Linked DNA regions of Saccharomyces cerevisiae S288C. The main gene of each other region encodes a partner of the protein of the gene in region 2 in a complex. Each region holds a gene or a part of one and is shown on either strand. Other genes may lie near its edges.

What was found. The genes of interacting proteins can lie anywhere in the genome.
Region 1: SRP68 (region 2) and SRP14 share a complex: the UniProt entries of both Saccharomyces cerevisiae proteins name them as parts of the fungal signal recognition particle (SRP) complex.

What each region holds. Positions count from the first base shown.
Region 1 is NC_001136.10:290,637-293,721, reverse strand, and holds SRP14 (RNA-binding signal recognition particle subunit SRP14), read right to left. Parts: upstream 942-3,085; coding exon 501-941; downstream 1-500. Other genes in the region: clathrin-mediated endocytosis regulator UBX3, read left to right, coding at 1-330; putative dolichyl-phosphate-mannose-protein mannosyltransferase PMT5, read right to left, coding at 1,582-3,085. UniProt on the Saccharomyces cerevisiae protein: Component of the signal recognition particle (SRP) complex, a ribonucleoprotein complex that mediates the cotranslational targeting of secretory and membrane proteins to the endoplasmic reticulum (ER).
Region 2 is NC_001148.4:86,424-90,187, reverse strand, and holds the start of SRP68 (signal recognition particle subunit SRP68), read right to left. Parts: upstream 1,672-3,764; coding exon 1-1,671. Other genes in the region: UDP-galactose transporter HUT1, read left to right, coding at 2,155-3,174; YPL245W (uncharacterized protein), read right to left, coding at 3,238-3,764. UniProt on the Saccharomyces cerevisiae protein: Component of the signal recognition particle (SRP) complex, a ribonucleoprotein complex that mediates the cotranslational targeting of secretory and membrane proteins to the endoplasmic reticulum (ER).

The sequences.
Region 1 (3,085 bases), on a different chromosome or scaffold from region 2:
AAAAGCCAACTAAAACCCGAACCCTCTTCTGATAAAGATGCAAGCAAAGTTGCGATCAGACTAGAAAATGGGCAGAGATTAGTGAGAAAGTTTGACGCATCTCTACCAACGGAGGAGATATATGCCTTCGTAGAATTACAGTTGCATGACATGTTGAACTCAGAAAACGATACTTTACCCGTATACCAACCTGCTAATTATCAGCACCAGTATAGCTTCAAATTGATCACGCCGGTACCAAGAAGAGAGCTTGATTTATCTACCAAAATATCTGACGTTAGCGGCATATATCCATCAGGAAATATTGTAATGGAACGCCTGGACGAATGAAAGGAATTTCAAAAATAGTCATCTCAAAACGTTTATTCTAAAGTTTAGTTAAATTTATATCTACACAACTTTATGCAATTAATCTTTTATATCTACGTTGCCATCCTTTAATCTACACATCCAAAGATAACAAGAGGCGCACATGCCTTTTGACTCAAGTGTCACGTGCATCAGTTTTTCTTCGCTACCTTGTTTTTCTTTCCTGTCTTACTGATGGTACCGTTCTTACTCTTCTTTTTCTTCTTCTTGATCAAATTCTGCATGCCCCCCTTAAATACAGATGAATACTCTTGCCAAAATTGATCTAACTCACTTGCTTTTACCACTGTTGAGCATTTTGTTTTCTTGTCATGCGAGCCATAAGACATTCTGATTAATAGTGGGTATTCTCTGTCAGATCTTGAGCTAACTGAAATTTCAGAAGCCTTTTTAGATACATCATAGTCAGGATGGTTGGTAGAATCAAATTCAAGATTCCCTTCCACAGGATCGTGTTCTATGAGTCTTTTGGCCGTTAGACGCACAGTTATATGTTTTTCATTCGCAGTCTGGAAAAATTCTGGAACCTTTGATAAAAATGCACCTGGTGATAAACAGCCAGTATTTGCCATTGTTTTAGGGTGGTAAGAAAGCTACGTTTTTTGATTTGTATTAAAGAAGAGGTATGCCAACCCGTAAGTTAAACATTAACGTTAAGTATGGCTATTTTTTCAAATGAGAGATATATTATCCTTTTGCACGGGCGAGGAAGTAAGAATATGTAATTAGTTGTTTTGTAGAAGCCTCCAATTTAGGGCGATTATGCAAAGACAATCAAATAGCTGTTGTAGTCTTTATCATCGGCTGAATGTTTTGATCTGCCTACGTTCATCTCCTCATGTGCTTAAAATGCCACTCAGTGGTGATCTTGAAAAGCCCGATAAGAGAAATACCATGTTCACAGCTTTCCTTTTACCGGTTCAATCCTAATTCATCTATTCTTTGTTTATTAAATATCTTGTTGTATTTGACAATATATATGTATATACATTACTTAATACGGATCATTTTTTTGGTATTCGTTAGTTGTTTAGTGAAATTCAACGAAAGAACAAGATAGGAAAGTGTTGCATTGTGACCGGTTATGAACTCTTTTTTCATATACATCTGGTTCTTTTCCATATGTACGTAGATCTTTCCCGCAGTTTAGCTCAAATGTAGTTTTTAAATCTTTTGCTAAACGAATGTCCAATCTGAATACGGGTGGATGGATCATGATTCAGCGTTTAATTCATAGTGGCTATCGGATAGTAATAGTGAATTGCAATAAAAGTCCCAGCTTCCTAACCACTTGGACCTCTTACACAGGTTACTCGACCATCCAGTAGCATAAATAAGTGGAGAATGCTCGCTGAAGAAATAGAAACATACAACCATGAAAATAGCCACCACTATATATCCAGTATTGTTTCTTTTGTTAGAAATATAGGTTGAAATCAGGTCTAAAGCATGACCAAATGCTAGGATACCAAAATAATAGGCCGGCAAATAATCGTACAAAAATAACTTTTGCCCCACAAAGAAGTAAGGGAAATAGTGGGCGGCAAAGCCTAATAAGTACTGAAAGACCTGATAGTGGAAATTTATGATGTGCTTATCCCGTAGAATATTCACACCTAATTTCCAAGCAAGAAGCTCAACAGCCACTCCAATGATGAACGTGCAAATAAATGCTGTGACAGACCACCACAAAACAGCGTTACCTAAAAAGTACACCTCTCTGCCATTTTCATTCCAAAAATCAATACCACGCAACATAAGAGGCCAAGTCTTTGGTTCAGATGAGTAGGCATGACTAGTATCCATATAATTGTTAAGGTAGAACATGAACTTGTGGATAGCAACAAACTTCTGCCAAAAGCTCATTTTCTTATAAGAAACCTTCTCTGGATTTGGCAAAGAAATTTCGTTTTCGTTTTCTTCAATATACCATGAAGTTAAGTCTTCCCTTGCAAAGTATGCACACGTAACTTCCTGCTGCCCGAATCCCCACTCAGGTAGCTTTTCAGGATGTGAAAATAAGTAACAACCAGTTAGATAATGCTTCAGCCTAAATTTGGTTTCAATAGCCCTAATATGTTCCTGGGCAGGTCCCGGCTCTGATCTCTTTTTATCGATTTCAATTATCCAATCATCATTTATATCACCTTCGAAGCCCTCGTATCCATAACATGACACCTCTTTTTGCCAATCCGCATTTTGAGAAACTGGAGGTTTGTGGTCATGTGAGTGTAACCTGCAGCCGTTCTTAAGCTGTCTTAATTTAATTATGGTACCGTCGGTTAAATTTTGGAAACTTGTGACATTTTCATTTGGATGTTCAGCCAGCTCAATAATCCATTTGTTATTTTGGTCGATGTGAGGATACAAAGTAACTTGTTGTTGCATGGAACCAGCCGGATAATTGTGAAGATGAGAATGCAAGTAACCACCTGCCGTTCCAACATGATTCAGTGAAACAGCGGAACCCACTGCAACTTCTGCCACAGTCTCTTTAATAACGTTGTTGTATTTTAAAGTTTTTCTAAACTCAGCGGGAAAAAAGCTACTACTAATACCATTCACGTTTAATGTCTTAATATGCACGCTGAAAATGAGAAAATAGATGAAGGCAGGAATAGCTAATAGACAGGTAAACTGGAACGCCATATATTTGATAGAAGAACCAATGGGTCTTGACAAATCACCAATCATGAACCATACTCTCCAAAGGACA
Region 2 (3,764 bases):
CTCTTGCTTATCATATGTTATGTAGTTGAAGGCCAAATCAAAAAGTGTTGGTTTACTAGGAATGGGCAGCATTTTTGGCTTGAGAGGGAATAAATTTTTCAATTGTATGTCCGTTGGCAGTATTTTTTTACTATCCAATTTTTCAATCACTGTCAAATCATATTTCCCTAAGCTGCCACCATGATTTCTTTTTTCGTATTCCGCCAAAGTAATGACACTATTACCACCGTTTTCGATTCTCTTTTGTAAGCTTCGGACAGAATTCAATGACAAAAGATTTGCTGGAAGTAAGATTTCGTCTAGAGATTCAATTTCAGATAATTTGTTTTCTAATCTTCGGTAAGCGTCCACATATAGAGCTAACGCCTCCATATATCTGCCTTTCGACTGATATAAAACACTCAGGCAGCCCGTATTCAGAAATAACTGGAAATACAGCTTGCATAAGTCTAATTGGCTTAGCAGCTCGTCATCTGAATACACACCAGGTAGCTCCATTATGTCCGATAAATATTTTGTCAAATTCTTCACAATACGTTCCATTTCTTTATATTTGGTTAACTTCGATGGTAATGAAGTATTTAATTTCAGCCATTGATTCCATAAATGAGTAAACAAATCTCTTTCACGAGATATAGAGGTCAAAAGAATATTATATTTAATGTAGGCTAAAATTATCTGATTGTTTTCAGAACTATTTTCAACCATCTCGTCTATGTCATCTTGATCGTCGTGGTTTGCGATGAAAAATTCATGACGGTCTAAAGCTTTCTCCAATTTTGATAGCCTCTGTGTATATTGAGTAATCTGAGTTGGGTGGATAGATAGACCTTGTTCCAAAAATTGAGCAACTTCAGCATCGATTATCTTGGCGTTGAAAGATCTCCAGTTTATGTTAGTGGTAACCTTTTGATCTTCAGTTGAGGTTGTAATTTTTTTCATATTGAATCCATTGTCTAATAACAATTTCACAAGCTCATCGTCCTTGTTCTCATCAGATTGAACTCTTTCCACGATAAAGTTATTTATTTCGGGCGTTGTAATTAAATTTCCCGCGTACTGCTTGAGAGAGTACTGGTATTTATTAACAATGTTATCTACAACTTCTTCAGCTAATAAGCTTAGATTCTTCAAGTGTTCCAATGCGGCGAAAACGAGGGCTAGGTTGTTCGAAATTTTGGCATTGTCCTTCCTCTTGAACCTTTTTCCATTAATTAGGTACTCTGAATGTACCAATTTAGCGAACGCTAAATATTGGGCACGAGTTATCCATTGCTGTTCATTTTGAGTGACGTTAACCAATTTATCAGCAGTCTTGCAGGCCTTCTTCAATCTTGTGGATAAAACCTTTTCTTCACTTTTCTTTAACTTTCCTCTTTGACGAGCTCTCAATTTCAAAGTTTCAGCCAGTGCCAAGTCCCTTTCAGCGTGTAGTAAAATCAAAACACCAATCAATTTAGTTTTATTATCATAATCCTCGGAGTTAATTTCGCCATACTTATTTTTACTTGAGTATTTCTTTGTATCCTTGGTGACCAAATGGCAACGGCTCCTCAAGTGTTGCAACTTTTTATTCAATTTCGCATGATACTTAGCGAAGTCTGAGTCTGTTTCTAAAAACTGTTCTGCACGATTACCATAGGTGGCAATGATTGGAGAATAGGCAACCATCTTTAGTTTCAAGCGTGGCTAGTTTTTGATTCAATATGGAAAAAAAGAAAATTACACTGTAATATAATACAATTGATCACTTTGATGCTCAAATAATTCAAATAACCTAGTCTCCAGCTGCTCGTTTATGCTAATATTGTTGGATTAACTCTAGCAAATATACTCCAAAAAAAATTTTCAGAACTTATCACGAACAACGATGTGGTAAAGACAACGAAATACTACGTAAATCATATTGGTCTGCTCGTTTATAAAAGCTTACTCCCAATCAAATCACTGCAATGGAATATGTCGTTTGGTTCGTTGTTGTAGTTTGTGGAATGCCAGAATCATCAGCTGTTTCTCTTCCAAAGCTTCCCTGAGATCGCTTCTAAAGGTTGTTTTGTAGATCCCATCGAACATGAAAAAATGACAGCAATGTAATTAGAACCAGAATTACAACGTAACAAGAAGAAGTAAACAAGGCAGTATTCGTATATTTGTATGGCGGGAAGTACATCCAGTTTGGTGATCTGTGCGATTGGTATATATGCTACTTTTTTGACGTGGGCATTAGTACAGGAGCCTTTGGCTACAAGAACCTGGCCAAACTCCATGGGAAAGTTTCAATTCCCTAATGTAATATCCCTCATACAAGCTTCTGTGGCAATGATGATGGGCTACCTGTACTTAAACTGGAAGAAGGTGGAATATCCGCCCAGAAAAATGATTAAAGATCATTGGAAACAATTGATGTTGATATCATTTACACAGAGTAGTTCAGGCCCGCTGGCTACAACTTCTTTAAAGCACGTGGATTATCTCACTTACATGTTAGCAAAGTCATGCAAGATGATCCCCGTGTTGTTGGTGCATTTGCTTTTGTATAGGACGCCCATAGCAAGCCAAAAAAAAGTTGTAGCTCTCTTGGTAAGTCTCGGTGTCACTATTTTCACTATAGGTGGCAACGATGGTAAAAAGTTGAAGAGATCCTTTAATGAGAGCGGAAATGATAACAAATTACAAGGGTTTGGACTACTTTTCTCTAGTTTATTCCTTGATGGATTGACCAACGCCACCCAAGATAAGCTACTAAAGGCCAATAAGGCCAAAGAAAAGGGAAAACAAACTTTGATAACAGGTGCACACTTGATGTTTACACTGAACCTCTTCGTGATATTGTGGAATATTTTGTATTTTATTGTGATCGACTGCAAACAATGGGATAATGCCGTTTCTGTATTGACGATGGACCCACAAGTGTGGGGCTATTTAATGCTTTATTCGTTCTGTGGCGCTATGGGACAATGCTTTATTTTCTATACTCTAGAACAATTTGGCTCTTTAGTTTTGATCATGATAACAGTCACCAGGAAAATGGTCTCGATGATTTTGAGTATTATTGTCTTCGGTAAGAGTGTACGTTTCCAGCAATGGGTGGGGATGTTTATAGTATTTGGTGGAATCACTTGGGAAGCACTCAACAAGAAGAAGGCTAATATACCGAAGGCAAAATCTGCGTAGATTAGTGAAGATCGCAACAAATAAAAGTTAATATTTATAAAATTTGTCTATACTATGTACTTCCTATTTTTTTGATGGACGAAGCAGTCTCTCTCTTAATTCAGGATCGTATGCATAAACATACAGACCACGCACGCCACGAGTTAAGAGGACATTAATGCTATTCATAATAATCTTTTGCTTAACGTCCTCTGCATTGTGAATGTTTTTCTTTTTGGTGAAACCGGCCCTATCGTCATACAGCTCTGGTCTTAGTTTGATGCAGTCATTAGCCGCATCATACCCAATGGAACGGCCCAAAATTACACCAGCATAATTCAGATCAAACCCTTGGATAGTATACACACTACCTACCTCATCAATCGTGTCGCAACGCTCACTCCAAGGCGTCACTTCACGTGGAGTATAGCGATCCCAGCGAACTTTGAAATTGTCACCACATTCAACGTAATAGTCTTTTCCGTCCAAGCGATAGGGAAAATCGTAAGTAGATAGCATCCTACATTGGCCGTATTGACGGTCTTTCTCCTTGATTGCCTCGTACATGGCGCCACAATCATCCCAAATTTTGAAATCAAAATTCTTAATTT